Coturnix japonica: one gene and its partners. The protein of the gene in region 3 purifies or fractionates together with the protein of the main gene of each other region. This does not show direct contact. Links are inferred from orthologs where the notes say so. Each region holds a gene or a part of one and is shown on either strand. Other genes may lie near its edges. The genes, in order: GFER, Sjoegren syndrome nuclear autoantigen 1 homolog and CHCHD4.

Region 1 (5,936 bases), on a different chromosome or scaffold from region 3:
AGGCTCTTCCTCCTCTGCACCACTGTCAGAACAAAACAGTACCTGCTGGCAGGAGCTTTTCCTTGCACACAACTCCACCATCTCCTTGGACAACACAAGGAGACCAAGGTTCTGTGTTGCCATGGCCACTCTCACTGATTTTGAGAGGGATGCACAATTTAATTGTTTTTTTTTTTTTAACTCTCCACACTGTTAAGACATGGACAGAGCAGCAGCCCTCCTGCATGCAAGAGAGAAACTTTCTGAGCACTTTTAATAGCCCACACAACACCATGAGGTAGGAAGTCAAATTGCATATACTTCATAAAACACTCAGCACTTCTGTTGGTTTTGTGTTTAGGAACACTGACAAACAAAACTTCCCAGAATAACCAGTCCATAAAAATTTGTGTCTTACTGTTTTAACAGGTCCAACTTGAAAAGGCTTTAGGACACCATAAAACATTGAAATATATTTCCAAAGTTCTAATTGCTTTTCTAAACAGTAAGGAGTCCCACACGTGAACGTTTGGAGATCAAAGTTCTCACATATAGGCTATCGTCACCCTGATACTGTTATAAAAGTACCATTACCATGAACCTCTCATTCTATCATCAAAAGTAAATTTACATACCAACTGTAACGCATGAAACAAGGAAGCTTACTAAATCACGCAAGGAAAAGCTCTGCAGGAAGTACAGAAGGAAAAGGCCCCTATTATCATGATCTGTGAAAACTCCTGCAAACTTTCCCAGACAAAAATGCAATAAGGGCAAAATATCTCTGTATATTTTAAGAGTTTGAAAGTATTAAGACTTATTTGTGTGGCTTTGTAGAGAAATGCATTTATATTCATTGTATCATTTATGCTGCTATTTCACTTGAAACTCAAATTCACACTTATGCGTCAGTAACACTGATGCAATATAGCTGATGTAAGGAAAATGCCAATAGAACAAACCAGTTTCTACAGAGGGAATCCTTGGAGTCTTCTGTACAATAATTCTATCTAAAGCTGACATCAGTCTTAAAGAAGACTCAAATATCATAAGGGTATTTAAAGTCCTTTTGTTCCAGAGAGATTTTTATCTAGGCGAAAACACCAAAATATCAACTAAATCAATAAGTAACAATCACGAATTGCAAAACACAAATGATGCCTTAGAAACACTATATGCTAAACAAATCTGAATATGTTTCATTACAGATACCAGTCTCAGATCGTTACAGCAGTCTTTGCAATTGAAATCATAGAGATGAAAAGTTGTCAGTTTTAAAAGCAAATAGCTCAGTAGAACTTGTCAGACTGCTTCTGGATTGAAAGAAAAAGAGGAATCAATTTAAAACATCTGAATTTAACCCAGCTGATACTTCTTGATAGTTCTTTTGGTCCTGTTCTAGTCTCTTTTCTATGATACACTCTTATGTGATAAACTGAAACAGAAATAAAATGAGAAATCAAGGTTCTGTGATTTTAGCATTTAAATTAAATGTACCTGCTTTTTAGCAAGTCTAACAACAAGCATCAGAGATCTCTAAGAAAGCTTAAGGGATATAGACAGCAGGAATTTGCCCTATCAGAACAAAAGAAGTGAAAATGACAATGAAATTCCAAACACATCAGGATAGTAACTGCAAATAAACATGAAATGTCACAGGGCAGCTCTCTACAACTGCGTGCAAGGAACAGGAATTCAAGTCAAAGATACAAGCAAATGCCCCTAAAATAAGGAAATGTCATGAAACAGTATCCACGGGTTTGTTGAGTAACTCAGTTTCACTTATTTCTGGCAATTCCTGTGCCACATGTAAGGCCTCAGTTCCTCAGACAATGCATTTGATACGACCATTTATCCAGGTGCTACGAGCATAAGATTTTCAAACTGGCTTTCAGAGTTGGTTCCACCTTTATTTCCACAAGTCATCTCAGTCATGCACACACACGCTCACACATATTTACTTGCACATCTCTACACAGTGTCAAAACAGCAGAGTGAATCTGTTGGATTTCCAAAGCAGTCCCCTATGGATTAATCACAACTACCATCTTTCCAACCATCTCGCCAGCGCTCATCCACACGAGAGCAGTCAAATTCAGATTTGCCCAGTTTCCTGTTCACTTCATTGTGAAGAAGACATAACCACTGGGAGAAGTTATTTCTGTTGCTAGTATCAGGCTGATTTGTTCGCAATCTGCAAACAGGGAAGAGGAAACAAACGTTACTGCTTTAGTCACCAATTTCAATACCCAAAGCAGGTACATAGCACGCAGACAGCCAGTCTCCACTTCTGTTACCATGAGAACTCCAAATGGACCCCAAGACAGAGCACACTGTAATCATCAGAGGCCAAACATCCACACTAAAATGCCAGTGATCACAACTGACCTGGTTTCAGTCAGTTCCTAGTCTTGTCAATTGTAAAAGGCAGAGGAATCAAAAGGCTTAGCTGTGATAAACAGCAAAAAGTACTTGTGATCATCAATACATTGACTTTTTAAAAGGGTTTTACCAAAGCAATAAATGAAAACCATTAAGCAGTTCTTTTGCCAAGTGATACTTAATAATTCGGTTTCAAGCCTTTTTTGCACGTTCATTATCCAAAATAAAAGCAAAAAAAAAAAAAAAAGTTCAAATTTTTGAGAAACATGTTGACAGCGACAGAGGTAGAAAATTACCCGATACCACAGCTCATTTCAAGTGTCTGCCTCCAATGGTGGGAGGTTGTGGCTCTTCTGAGATATAAGCACACACAGAATCACAGAATGACCCGGGTTGGAAGGGACCTCAAGGATCATGTAGTTCCAACCCCCCTGCCTAGCAGGGCCACCAAACATACACATTTACTAGATCAGGTTGCCCAGAGCCCTGTCCAACCTGGTCTTGCCTACCAAAAACTGAATAATTCCAAGTCCCAGTTTATCCCACGATTGTGTGCAAGTCCAGTCTAAACCACAAGGCCATAAAATGCCTCAGGGAGGCCTTGGAGGCAGCACTGAACCCAACAGCACTAGACAAGGTATTTGTCTTCGGAATAAGTCTTTGATCTATGCAACGGAAGAAACCAGTTCAAGTGCCTATAAACCCCAACAGCAGGAAGAGCAAAGATATGCAAACACCCACAGCAGGGCAGCATTTCAGGCCCCTTCAGCAATAACAAAAAATAAAAAAAACACAGAAGAAACCGATGAGGCAACTCACCTTTCCCTCAGATCCTCAGCACACTGCTCACACGGGTAGAACTTGGAGAAGAGGCGGATGAAATCCTTCATCTCCTGTTGCTGAGTTCTTGAGGGCCGTTCGGGGTAGTATGCAGCCATGGTGTGAAGGAAGGCCCAGGTGCTGCGGCCCAGCTGCTCGCTGTCCAGGGGGCAATCAGGGGGTGGCTCCTTCTCTTCCACTGCGGCCTGAGGAGGGAGGGAGAGAGCTATAGGAGAAGGCAGCAGGGTGCAGGGATAGCAACAGCGCCCAGTGCCACACGCATGAAGGGAATAAAATAGGAGCCCCCCTGGAACCTCCAGGGATGGGAAGCGGGAGGGTGCAGCCCCACAGCCCGCCTGCCTTACCACGCCGCCCGCCTGCTGCTTCCTCTGCTCTCGGAGCCAGCTCTTGAAATCCGTACAGGCCCTACACGGCTTCTTGGGTTGTTCCTCAGCTCCGGAGCCGGCAACTCCGGGCGGAACGGTGAAAGGAAAAGCGAAAGATCCGCCTTCAGTGCCAGGGAACGATGAGGCGCCGCGGCCGGGCCTGCCCTCACTGGGCGCCGCCATCTTGGCGCCGCAGTGCACCGTGGGCCGGGGGCGGCCGTGTCGTTTGGCAGCGAGGGGGCGGTTTGGGTCTAAAAATCATGGAATTGTCCCTCGAGATTCTGACGGGGGGTTTTGTGGATGTAAATCACAAAGTTGCTTTTTTCCTTCTCTTTGGTTCAGCCCTGCTCCCATTAGGTCAGCACCGTCCTCCCCTGTCCAACAGCTGTGGTGAAGGAGCCCTCCATAAGCAGACATGGCCGCACATCTCCACACACCGATCCTTCCTGGATGTTCTGTAGTTACTTGAAATGCACCCCGAGTCTTGTCTAAGTCATTAATTTAAGTGCTGCAGGTTCTGCAGAGACACCACTTGTGTGAAAGGGGCTGGGAAAATACTGCTCATTTCCAGCTCTTACATTGTGATGTACTTAACGTGCTAAAACAATTTTGGTAGATAACACAGCAAAGAAAACGCTTCAAAGAGCTGCCCTTAGAAATAAGACTTCAAAACTTAGTGTGCTCTGCGTGGGAATGGCATTTTGTTGCAGTTATTCACGTGGGAAGGAGAAGAAACACGAGCAACTGCAGCTACTGGCTTTGTCTGAAGTCATAGACAACTATAGATACAAAGATATATCGTGCATGAAAGGGTCAACCTAGTAAAGGAAAAGATATTCTTTATATTTGTTTTCCTTTTCGCCAGTAAATATTTAAATGATGCTTTAAATTCTAAAATAAGGAGTATGCTGGTATCTAGGAGAGACACGGGGGAATTTCCTGCAGTGCTTTACTGCTCTGCCTCCTGGCAATTACGTTTTTGCAGAGACATTTATAAGTCAAAGCTGTGTCCTTGATTGGCTGTTAACGGCCTGTTTGCTTTCTTGTTAGTGTTTCCATTTATTTAGTCAGGTAAAATATCAGCAAGATGGATTTTTATTTGAAGGCAAATAGTTCATAAAGGTAAAGAAAGCTGTCACCTAAGATGCTATCTGTGCTCAGTGTTGCTCCGTCTGCCCCTTTTCTGGTCAGAGAGAGCAAGAAGAGCAGAAATGTTGCAATGCTCCTATACAAATCACAGTGAGGAATACACTTTCCTGTCTCTAAGCGCAGTCTGACCACCTCCTGCAGTGGATATGAAGCACCCTGGTACTGCCCAGGTGAGGCTTCCTCAGCCCCAGTCCAGGCATGCGATAACCTGCAGCAGGCTCTGCTAACAACACACCCATATCTTGCATGATGTAATTGTATCTGGAAGACAGGGCTCACCAAAGCCTACTGGACAGGTACATCTTCTGTACAGTCTCTCAGTGACTGGAATAGGGGATGTAATGACGCTAATTACCAGGAAGTGTTGGTAAACTCTGTGCTGGAGAAAAAAAGTAAAGGGTGTGTTTGTGTTTCTGAGTGGAAGACTGCTGTTTGATGTTCTGCTCTTATCTTGGCATTCACTAAACTGGCTCAGTAGCTGGCAGATGATAGCGAGCACACAGGGAAGGAAGCAGAAGCAGGAGCTGAGCTGTGTGTGAGGCCAAGCACGCATTCTGTTGCTCACCCTCTGGGCTGAGAGCAGCAGCAAAGTAGGAGGGGAGAACTAAGGAAGGGAGACTCTGAGGAAGGCCAAGCAGCTCTTCTCAGTGCAGTTGGGCCCCCAGCTGTGTGCATTTGGGTATGGTTATGTTGGCAGAAAACCTGCTAATTTTCACAGGTAACTGATGCAACTAACAGACAGAGGACACAGCTTTTGCTGCTACCCTAATGGCCCACTTTCTAGGATGCAAACGATATCAAAAGGTAATAGTTCAGGCCGCCTGCTGGCATGTACTTGTCTGTTACCAGATTTTGAGCTGAGAATAGGGAGTGATACTTGCAGAGGCTTTTGCTTCACTTGGGAACTTAAACATCACTGACTTTTCATGAATGTGTTTTAAGTGCTTTAGAGAATTTTCACAGAATCCCAGACTGGATGAGGCTGGAGGCATCTCTGGGTCCCTCTGGTCTTACCCTGCTTCAGAGCAGATGCCCAGCATCACATCCAGGTGGGATTGGACATCTCCAAGGAGGAGACCCCACAACCTCCCAGGGCATCCCCATGCCTCTCAGGACTTCCCCTATACCTCTCAGGACTATCACTGTGTTTTTGGGATGGTTGCGTAGATACTTACAGTTGAATATAACTGTTGCCCTGCCAGGAAGTTGACACCTGTGCAC
Region 2 (6,014 bases), on a different chromosome or scaffold from region 3:
ACTCAGAGGGTGGTGATGCACTGGAACAGGTTGCCAAGGAGGCTGCGGGTGCCCCATACCTGGAGGCATTCAAGGCCAGGCTGGATGTGGCTCTGGGCAGCCTGGGCTGGTGGTTGCCAGCCCTCATATGGCAAGGGGGTTGAAACCCAATGATCATTGTGGTTCTTTTCAACCCAGGCCATTCTATGATTTTATGATTATTTATGGCTTATTTGAAGACAAGCAAGCCAGTAGTCATTAGAAAACAGGAATTAACTGCACTGCTCTGCCAATCTGTAAACAAACTTCCCATGTAAGTTTGTTCACGTAGGCAATTTCAAACTCCCCTTTATACAGTAAGATGAATCAGTTTACATGCTGTTTTTTAAGTCCTTGCTGTTTAATCAGTACCTTTTCTGAGACATCCTATTTTGATATAAACTAATGACTACTGTAACCAGACTAAGGGGACAGAGGTGGGATCCAATAGGTATCCCAGCCAAATCACCTTTTTGCTACTAAAAGAAAAACAACATTTTGGCTTTTGTGTTTCACTTCAGCATAAACAGAGCTGCCACAAATACTGTGGCACCTCAACAATAGCAACACTCCTGAGATTATCTAATTTTATTACCTCAGCATTACTCAGGGGAAGCTGGTGGCAAAGCTATACAAGTAAATTGTCGATTAGCTCGGTCTCGCTAATCCCCACTGCAGAAGATGTAGCGTGGCAATCAGGACATAAAATGTTTATAATTATTGGTGAAGAGCTATTACTGAAGCTATTCATATCTGCATGCTCTTTATACTTGCACCTGAGAGACACAGTTATTAAGAGAAGAGATTGCAATCGCATTTCCTCCAATTTAGCGAATTGTTATGAAGGCTTGACTTAAACATAAAGCTGCTGCCATAATACATGAATGAGCAGGAAAAAATGCATGCACACACATATTTACTAACTACCAGAAATAGGAAACGAGACTGAGATTTCTGCTATATTCTTACATCCTCTCCATTCTCCTACTTGGGTTCTATTTAAATCTCACCTACAAGAATGTCGAGCAGCTGCATGTTTACTACTAATTCAATTCTGACCTCTCACATGCATTTATTTCCCTCCATTCTAGGTTGTTCACTATTCTTTCCAGCCTTATTGCAATATTAGATGGCCCTCATTTATATTGTACAGCTCCCTGCAGCACTGTGCCCTGCAAGGTCATGCCTCCCACTTGCACTCAAATCCATCTCTCACCATAGCATAACTCCTTTCTACTCAAGGCTTTAGAGTACAGCTTCAGAAGATACACAAACCTGACACAGTCTGTGAGGTTAATCTTTCATACCCTGCTTAAATCACATTTTCTCAAATTATTCCTCCAAAATTCCAGCTAAGTGAAAGATGATTGTCAACAGGGGCTGCACGTGGATCACGGAGAGAAGTCCAGACTCCTTAAGAAGGCTAAAAAACTAATTCCTACTTGGTCCCTAAAAGTCAAGCAACAAGTATAAGCTACTTGCATCCATTAGTTCTACAGTGCTTTTCTGTCTACACATGTAGGTAAGGGGAAAAAAAGGATATGGGAGAAAGACAGCAGGATTTCAGAGAAGCCATGAACACAGCTTTGGGTAAAAGAGCAATGGAAAAAATGCGAGCATTCTGTCCAGATTTCAAGTAACATTCTATCAAACAGCCATTCCACAGTAACCAGCCAAAATCCAGCCAATAAAACATTTTTCCTGTCTTTCAGAAGAGCCTTGAAGCATAACTATGTCCAAACTGACAGCTACATATCTGCAGTTTAGTTTTGCTGTGATTTAAGAGCAATTATGAACTTTCTTTAATAAGAAAACGGCAACTTTATTTCATCTGTTTTATCTACAGTGTTTCTAACGCATTTAAAAATTATGGGAAAGTGGAAAGGTTGGAAGAAAGGCCCCTCAGCTCATAGTGCTGTCACAGGGTGCTGTGTCTGACCGCTTCTCACCTAGTGGAATTTTAGAACTGGGAAGTGCAGACATTTAACAGCTTCAGGTTACATTACTTTTCAGTTCTGGCGGACGCTTTAAGCTTCCCACTTCCTTCTTCAGGACACTAAGCAAAGTTCTGGAACTATCCAAAATCTTCATGTAAGCAGCTTCAGTTTCAGCAAGAATTTTATCGAGCTCGTTCCGCGAAGCTACCTTCTGAGCCAGGTTTTCACACACCCCCTCCAACTGTTCATTGAGGGTTTGAATTTCATGCTGGAGTCTGCTTTTCTCCTCTTCTGCTTGCTGGATCTGTTTGTTCAGCTCCTCTTTTTGCATACACAAGTCTTCAATACACTTAACGAGCTCATTGTTGTAACCCTGAAGAACAGCTCCCTGCTGGGTCATCCTCTGCTCCTGTCTGTCCGTGAGCTTCCTGAGGTGTCCTCTCAGCTGCAGCCTTCTGCACGTTAACACAAAAACAAGAACAGAGAGAAAAACTATAGTTATAGTGTGATGCTATGTTTAAACACAGCATTGTGGGGAAAGATGTACTGCTACAGGCCAGTTCTGAGGGGGGCTTGTCACTTCCCTTTTCATTAAGGAGGCAGGACAAGATTCAGGCTCTGTATCATTGCATGGTTTGGGGCCCTTCAAGGCTATCAGTCCCAACACCATGCCGTGGGCAGAGCACCCACCCAGCAGCTCATGCTGCCCGTGGGCCCATCCAACCCAGCAGGGCTGGATCACTCCCAGCTCCTCAGGGCAGCGCTGCCCGTCCCGCTCACCCGCTCCCTCCACGCGTGAGGCGGCCCGAGCTCCGCCATCGCCTCAGGGGGAGCTGAGAGGGAAGGAGGGACGCGGCCCGGCCAGCCGCTTCCCCAGGGACATTTTAACAACCACTCCCTACCGAGCGCCTCTCGCCGAACCCAACGTACACAAAATGGCTCCTGCCTATACATCAAGGCGCCGGGCGGAAGGGGAGGGGGGAGGTGAGTGAGGGGAGACCTTCCCTTTCCTATCCCCCCCGCACCACCTCGGCTCCTTTCGCGGTCCCCCCCCATCGCCCCCACCTGCCTGCCGCTGCCGCCCCCGCTCGCTCCCCTCGGCCAATCGGCCGCGCCCCGCCAACGGCCGCGCAGGTCACGGAAATAGCCGAACGGTTCCGAAGGCGGCGTCACCCCGACGAGAGCGTGAAAGCCTCTCTACGGAAATAACCGATGTTTTCCGAAGACAGGTAGCGTTCGGGAGTGGAGGACGAGGCGGGCCGGCCGGAGGGGGGGGGAGAGCTACGGAACGAGCCGATGTTTGCCGAAGGGAGAGACTGAAGGGCGTTGGGCTCGGCGGAGACTGCCGATGTTTGCCGAAGGCAGAGTCGCCCGAGAGCAAAGGGGACAGAGGGGACGGAGCGCGTCGGAAAGAGCCGAAAAGAGCCGACGTTAACCGAGCGCGGCGTCGCCCGAGTTTCCCGGATGTAGTTGGAGGAGCGGCGACGGCGGCGGCGGGCGCAGCGGGGGGAGGAGGCGGCAGCGGCGGCAGCGACGGAGTCCGCGCTCCCGGAGCGCCTCAGCGGGGCCGAGCTGCCGGCGTCTCCCCTCAGGCTGCGCGCGGCGGAGATGGGCCCGTGAGCGCCGCTCCCAGCACAGCTGCCGAGCCGCCCCCTCCCTCCCTGCCCCCTCCCTGCCCCCGGTCGGCGGCGAGGCGGAGCGCCGCTCCCCTCCTCCCCCCTCGGCGCCCGTAGGCCCGGCCGCGGCCGTCCCTTCCTGGTCCCCTCACACTCACACACACAGGCCGGGCATTGATGGTAATGTATGCGAGGAAACAGCAGAGACTCAGTGATGGGTAAATCCCCTCCTCGGCCCCGCGGCTCTCCCCCCGCCTCCGCCATGTTTGGGCCCCTTCCCGGCGCCCGGTAACGGCCCTCACTAACGCCTCTCTCTCTCTTTCTCTCGCCTTCTCCGCAGCTGTCACGACCGCAGGGGGGACTCGCAGCCCTACCAGGTACCGCCGCGCCGGCCGCCGGGCCCGGGAGGAGGAGGAGCAGGGCAGGGAAGGTGGGGGGGGAGCTACTCCAGCCCAGGCTTCGGCCGCCGCCGCAGGCCGCGCTGCCCCGCGCGGCTCCCGCCCGGCCCGCGGTGCCTTGTAAGGCCCGAGAGGTGGGGAAGGGAACAGGCTCCGGCCCGCAGCCGGGGGAACGGAGCCGCCGCGCCGCTGCGATGGCCGGGCCGGTAGGAGAGGCCTAGCGCGGGGCCGGGGCCTAGCAGACGGGAGGTGCGAGCACAGGGGCGGGAGAGCGCGGCCGGGTCACGGGCGGAGGAGCCGAGAGCCGGGGGAAGGGGAACGTTGTCCTCCTAAAAACAAAAGGCGGCTTGTTCGCCCCCCGCCCCCCTCCCCGAGGCCCTTCTCCCCAAAACTGCTGCTGCGGGCTGTAACCTGAGCAGGGCATGATTTTAGACCCTGAACTGGGGTTGTCAGTAGGGCTTCGTCTCCACAGTTGCCAGTCTCTACAGTTGCCAGCTGCTGGGGGTGTTCAAAAACATCAGATCCTCTGGCTTTTGACAGTAACTTCAATTTAAGTATGATGAGTCCCGTAGTCTAATGCCTATGAGAAATACGAAAGAATAAAAATAAGAAAAATAAAATTATACCTTAAGGAGGGTGTGAGTCTGGGGAACGCTGTGTGTAGGGATACTGCTCTTCTTAGGGCATTTAACTAAACCATTTTATTACATTTCTGAGTGTTTCTATCACTGTGAAGTGTCATCTGATGGTCCGAGGCAGCTGTCAGTGACAGTTCATGTAATATAAAACACTTGCCACTCATGAGCTCGCTCTGCAAAATCAAGCAGATCAAAAAGAGACATAACTTGTTAGTTTTGGTAAATGTTCCAAAATGAATTGTCACATTATGTTCTGCCCTCTTAAATACCCCCCCAAATTCTAGATTTTTATTGTATCTGTTATGGGCTTGCTAGTACTGAAGTCTATCTGCAGAAGCTTAACGTTGATGCAAAAGGAAGTGGCCTCCATTACAGTATGGATATTTACAGTTCACTCTGTTTCAATATAACTGTCTCTTTATTTCTTTAGTACCAGCTGCACTTGTGCTTGTTTTGAGTGTCAGAGGTTTTGTGCCCCACTTACCGTTTAAAGTATGCAGTCCTTCACTGAGAAAATAGGAAGAAATTAGGCTTATCTTAACAGCAAATGTTATGTTGGATGTCGTGGTGAGAGCAAATGGTTTCAGTCCTAATTACAGAACTTGTTGCTCTAATGTAGGTAATTAAAACTAAGAGGATGAATAGTGGTTATTTAAATGGGAAATAAAAATTAATTACTTCAAAAAGTGTTTTAGAAGAAAGATCTGAAATTTATGACTGATGTTAAAATGTTCTTTCTGTATCTATATCTGATGAAAATGCCTGTTTTCTTGTGATCTTTTTCAGGCTCTTAAGTACTCATCCAAGAGTCACCCAAGTGGTGGTGATCATCGTCATGACAAGATGCGAGACACCACAGATCCTTCACCACCAAATAAAATGTTGCGGCGCTCTGATAGCCCTGAAAACAAATACAGTGACAACACAGGGCACAGTAAAGCAAAAAGTGTGCATACTCACAGAGTTAGAGAGAGGGATGGTGGTGAGTTGTCTTTAATTAACCTTTCTTTAAGCGATTACTGTTTCCTCATAAAATTAAACAGTTGTCACTCAGGTGAAGGGAGCATTGCGTTGAGCGATGTTCTTTGATGCTCGGAAGACTGCTGTGAAACCAAAAGCCATGTTTGCTTGGAAGCAGGCATTGTAACACCTGTTAGCTGTCTTATTTTTACAGGTATGAGAGTTCTGCATACTGCAACGTTCAATAAGATAAAACCATATTCTAGAGTTCTAGAGATTGACAATCTTAAAGGTTTAAGTTGCTATTTTAGTAAAAATAATTTAGTATTTCTGTAATGTAGGTATGTGCTTCCTGGGCTACACTCTGAGAATGATAAAAAATAGCTTTAGATCTGGTTGCTGTAAACTAACAATGTTAAAATCAAAGATAGCACTTAGTACAATATC
Region 3 (4,970 bases):
GGTGACTTTGAAAGAAAAAGAAAACACATTTGGAAAGTACATCATTTGTGCTGTCCTGATTTGGAAGTTAAGACTGAGAGGAGTCTGACTGTATAATTTACTACATAGTTTTCTCAGTTTACTGAATAAAATGTTTATTTACTGAAACCGCTGCCCTACTAGCTCAGTCTTTAAAAATGAATTAATATAATTAGCATATGAAATACATGGTGTATCAATCTCCGCTTTCATTCTGTTCAGCTACTTACCGTGTTCCTCATAAGGGTCATCTGGATCGTCTGCGACCAGCTCAGCACTGCTTGGTGTCTCATGGTCCTCCTTTGTCACAAAGATAATTTTGTCCTTTCCTGTTGTGTAGGAGACAATAAGCAAAAGATCAGGAAAAGCTGAGAGTAAGTAATTGACAAAGTGGCTGACCAGAACACAGTAATGAGATACTCAACATGATGCCCTGATGTTAATATTGAATGAATTCTACTTTCCTTATTGAGCATCTTCAATTACAAGTTGCTGGTTCACAGGAAAATGTGTATAAAGAGAATTGGGAAAGTATTCAAAGGGAAGGTACTGAAAGTTATAAAAGAACTGGAAATAAGGCCTAGGAGAAAATCAACCTACGCTTGAAAAGATGAGTAGTAATTTATCTAGAACAGAGAATAGAACTGAACCCATTGTCTTTGTACCACACCCATGTAACCGTAGGAAGTTATTCTCAATATTCAATAAGAACTGAAAAAGTCATAACCCACTAGAGATTTACAATAAATATTTGCATATGGCACAGTTATGCAATGCAAATAGATGCCTACAGAGACTGCACTGAAGAGAGATGTGATAAGACAGGTATTTGTTTCTAAAGGAGACCATAATCAGCATACAGGACTCACGGAAGCAGTAAAGGACTGCACACTATTTCCAAGCTGAGGCAGCATTTAACAGATGTCACAGAGAACTTGCTTTTTAACACCACCTTCTCCGCTCCTTCCCCTCTTTAACCGAGTCAGGGATCAGCACAGCACAGTGACAGGAGCTGGGTGCAAGCAACCCAAAATGAAGTACCTTAAGCAACACTGCCACTGAATATGAAGCCACAAATCCCACGTGGGTAAAAGAAACTAATTATTAAAGTCACAGCACCTTGTAGAAGAAACTAATTATTATGTTATACAGGAAGGAAGTGAGGATGAGGTGAACATAAAACAGTTTGGGAAGTCCTCTTTTAAAGCACTCATTACATAAGTAATACTCATTACCCATTTACATGTTAGAATATATAGAAACTACCAAATCCTTTCGCTCTAGAGTTCTGCTTTTCACAGCAAAGTACTGTAACAGCTGTAAATCACTGTACAGTTCACTGGATTGCAAAGTTAAAGAGCTGTTTTGAAACCATCTGAAACTACTGCTCTCTTGGGAGAACAAATTCAGCTAAAGAGGCTGGATGGAAATGGACCAAAAGTGAAAGGAAAAACTCTCCTGTGCTACAGAAAGCATTCAGCAGGATATTAATTAAGATCAGCAGCCTCCATTACAGAGTCATGTCATAGTCTATAATTATTATGTGAATTAAATACTAAAGAGCACTTTAACGGTCTAGAGCAGCCTGTGTTGAAAGGTGCTGCAAACATTAACAAGGGCAGAAAAACAGAGCGTACTTCCTGCTCTTGTGTCACTCTTGATTTAACAAAGTAGTTATGAAGGGGGAAAAAAAAAACAGGCTTGGCTGGCAACCAGGGCAAAGTTTCCCAACAACTCTGTAAGGTTGTAGAAAACTGCTTTAAGGCAGATACAGGCAGAAGAGAACATCTAACTGAAGCTTTTCTGAATGTATAACACAGCATTCACAGACTGGAATGAGCACCCCAAAGACTTCAGCTCCAAATTCAGAAAGGCCACTGCAATGACAAAGCACGTTATGAATTAGCATCTTCTTGTCCTTCAGCATGACCTCTACCAGAAAACGTTCAGTAATTCCCTTTCTTTGCATTCAGTCTCACAGAATCACAGAATGACCCAGGTTGGAAGGGACCTCAAGGATCATGTAGTTCCAACCCCCCTGCCTGGCAGGGCCACCAAACATACACCTTTACTAGATGAGGTTGCCCAGGGTCCCATCCAACCTGGTCTTGAACACTAGGTGTGAAAAGCAGATAAACCTGGATTCTTTCAAAAAGGGAAACTATTGTCAGCCGTGTGGCATTCCAGCCAACTTTACAGTGCAGAACAGCTGGGATTTCATACATGAAATGAACTAGAAGTGGATGAAATATCATCACTGCTAGCATGAAGTATAACTATAACCCCATCACCACAACTATAACATGAACTATAACTGCAGCTATCATTCATTTTGTAGGATGCCATAAGGCAATGGACAGAGCTGGTAAAAATACAAGATATCAATAAAGTGAGTTAATAATAATAAGGCAAAGAGAACCAGAAGTTATCACAGTATATAATCACTATCCAGAGTGACGAGTTTATCCTTTCAAAGCAGCACTCAGGACATTCTTTGCAGCATGAAACTCCACACCAAGGGAGGAAAGATAAATCACAATCCACAAAGGGGGAAAGATAAATGCATCCCCCAGGTTAGAAATGAAACGTGTGGTGCCCCACACCCACACAACCCGCGGCCTCCCCTCCACCCTTCGAGCGGCGCCGCCCCCGCGCCTCAGGGTGACATTGTGAGGACGCAGGCACCCACCTTCTTGCCTGCAGTAGGACATGGCGGAGCCGCCCGCTGCCTTTCACACTCAGTGCGATCGCAGACCGGCTCCGCGTCCTTCCCCTCCTCCTCCAACACCGCCGCAGCTCCACGCTGTGCCCGCTGACCTCCGGAAGAACACACACTGAACTCTAACACCAGGAAGCATACGCCCTCACATCGAGGTGGGCGCGGCTGCTGCTGAGCGGTTGTCGTTGGTGGATTCTCTGGTTTGTGAGGGAAAGAGGCCGAAGATGTCGAGGAATGTAAGTGATAAGCTCCTGTGGGGGATCCCAATAGCTGTCAGATCCCGCTTGGCTCCTCCAGAGGGGCCTCGCCTCCTCCCCTCTCTACCCGCTATTGCTGCTTGGGTATTACCCACAGCACAGAGCTGTGGTGCTCCTCACACCCTGTGTTGTTGGTGTTCTAATGTGGCAATGCTCAGCATAGCAGCAGAAGTTTGTTCTGAGAGCTCTTCTAGTCCCCCAAGGTGCAGTTATGGCAGGGTGTGCTGTGGGATTGCATTGTGGTATTTATAGCTGTGCTGTAGCTAGTCTGGAATTTGGGAGTATTACTCAGTTTGTCGCTGGGTGTGGATACCAAATAGGGAACGTAGAGACAGGCTGAAGGATGTGTGAAGGGATGTGCTTTGCCAATGCTATAGGCATTGTTTTTCTTAGTTAAGGTCTATTTACTGGCTGTATTTCTGGTATCAAAATTGGGACAAGGCATTTAGGGGGTTGGAACTACATGATCCTTGAGGTCCCTTCCAACCCGGGTCATTCTGTGATTCTGTGATTTAATAAGTGTGGGAAGGTTCAGCTCCAATGCAAGCAGTGCCGTTTAGCAGTGGTTAAGCAATTTAGCAAAGGTAAAGAGCTCCTTTTGAAACAGACCATCTGCTTTTATACCAATATTACATTTCTGGTTTACCTCCAACAGTTTTCTGACACAGGAAGCAAAAAAGAACATGTCAAAATCACCAGCGAGGCCAAGCCAGGGTTCCTGGAGAGGCTCAGCGAGACTTCTGGAGGCATGCTTATAGGACTTGGGACATTTCTTCTGTCCTTCTACCTTCTTTTTACCAATGAAGTAAGTGAAGTACTATCAAGAGTTTATATACAGCTTTAAAATGGTTGGCCAAGGTGGCATTCAACTAGTTTTGTATGTATAGGGTCAAGGAAATGGTCATGCTGTAGTTTTATTGCTTCATCAGTGTAAAGAAGGCAGCGTGTCGGGTGAGGCTGATGCTTATTCTTGGGATGTAAGAATGAAATCACAGAGTCATAGATGTTCTTGCTGTGGAACGGTGTGTAATAGAAACAGTGTCTGTGTATGGTGAGGAAAAAGATCCCAAACCTATGAGCTCCCGGTGAAAGAGGCTGTAGTGCTATAGAAAGAAGCCGAACGAGCCAGCCACGTTCAGTTCTTCTGTCTCTATCTTGAGATAACATAGGGAATTCATTTCTAGTGCTGTTAGGATTTTGTTATAGGAACTCATTCAGTGTTGCAAAAGTGAGGGTGTTAATTACTCTCGTTACTTTGTTTTGGTTTTAGACTTGGAGGAGAATGGTGAATTACAAGTGTGTTTTCAGATTATGCCTTGAGGATGAATGTCTTGAGAAGTCCTTGGGCTCTGCAGATCACTTGTCTTCTACTATTTTCATAAGATAATGATATGCCATTGATTCTCCACAGCTTGATTTTGCTTTTCGTGACTACAGGGACGAGCTTTGAGGACAGCTAAATCTCTTGATGAGGGACTTTCTCTTGTGATCCCTCTTGACAACATTCACAGGGTATCTCAACAAAATGAGGGGAGTCTGGTGCACTTAGCAGGCGTTCTGAGCACAGCAAAGGTAAGTAAAGCTAACATCTTGGATATGGGAGAATTTCAAGTTTGGAGGGATTGGAGTGTTGAAATGCTCACAGATGCCTCACTAATTCCTACTGACTTGTGTTTTCTTTGTATTTCAAATAGCCTTTGTTTGATCCCAGCTATGGGCTGTCCGTCCAGGCTGTCAAGCTTAAGCGCAAAGTGGAAATGTACCAGTGGGTTGAATATGAAGATTCCAGGTGAGTGAAACAGGTCTTTAAAAGTTGTTTATAGGAGTGTTTTATTAACAGGGTCAGTTGAAACGTGCATTCTGTATTGAGCTGGTTTGTGTGTGTGCTATTTTGCTTCTTGCTTCACTCTTTTTCTTTGCAGGGAGTATGAAGAAAATGGTGAGATCAAGAAAGAGACAAAGTACTCGTATAGTAA

What was found.
Region 1: the proteins of CHCHD4 (region 3) and GFER purify together in Homo sapiens (co-immunoprecipitation; 3 studies listed by BioGRID and IntAct, with this or other methods). This does not show direct contact. The link is inferred for Coturnix japonica from reciprocal best matches to the Homo sapiens genes CHCHD4 and GFER.
Region 2: the proteins of CHCHD4 (region 3) and Sjoegren syndrome nuclear autoantigen 1 homolog purify together in Homo sapiens (co-immunoprecipitation; 3 studies listed by BioGRID and IntAct, with this or other methods). This does not show direct contact. The link is inferred for Coturnix japonica from reciprocal best matches to the Homo sapiens genes CHCHD4 and SSNA1.

What each region holds. Positions count from the first base shown.
Region 1 is NC_029529.1:6,124,190-6,130,125, reverse strand, and holds the start of GFER (FAD-linked sulfhydryl oxidase ALR), read right to left. Parts: upstream 3,785-5,936; 5' UTR 3,750-3,784; coding exon 3,546-3,749; intron 3,387-3,545; coding exon 3,181-3,386; intron 2,174-3,180; coding exon 2,011-2,173; 3' UTR 1-2,010.
Region 2 is NC_029517.1:13,929,637-13,935,650, reverse strand, and holds the start of Sjoegren syndrome nuclear autoantigen 1 homolog, read right to left. Parts: upstream 3,796-6,014; 5' UTR 3,790-3,795; coding exon of another isoform or gene 3,749-3,789; 5' UTR 3,747-3,748; coding exon 3,730-3,746; exon of another isoform or gene 3,634-3,729; intron 3,185-3,633; coding exon of another isoform or gene 3,168-3,184; exon of another isoform or gene 3,025-3,167; intron 3,003-3,024; exon of another isoform or gene 2,858-3,002; intron 2,826-2,857; exon of another isoform or gene 2,736-2,825; intron 2,411-2,735; coding exon 2,011-2,410; 3' UTR 1,968-2,010; exon of another isoform or gene 1,797-1,967; intron 1-1,796. Other genes in the region: WAC (WW domain-containing adapter protein with coiled-coil), read left to right, coding at 3,749-3,789, 3,912-3,948, 5,394-5,589. UniProt on the Homo sapiens protein: Microtubule-binding protein which stabilizes dynamic microtubules by slowing growth and shrinkage at both plus and minus ends and serves as a sensor of microtubule damage, protecting microtubules from the microtubule-severing enzyme SPAST.
Region 3 is NC_029527.1:8,345,689-8,350,658, forward strand, and holds the start of CHCHD4 (mitochondrial intermembrane space import and assembly protein 40), read right to left. Parts: upstream 2,852-4,970; 5' UTR 2,730-2,851; coding exon 2,708-2,729; intron 348-2,707; coding exon 249-347; intron 1-248. Other genes in the region: TMEM43 (transmembrane protein 43), read left to right, coding at 2,962-2,973, 3,650-3,799, 4,432-4,566, 4,689-4,783, 4,917-4,966.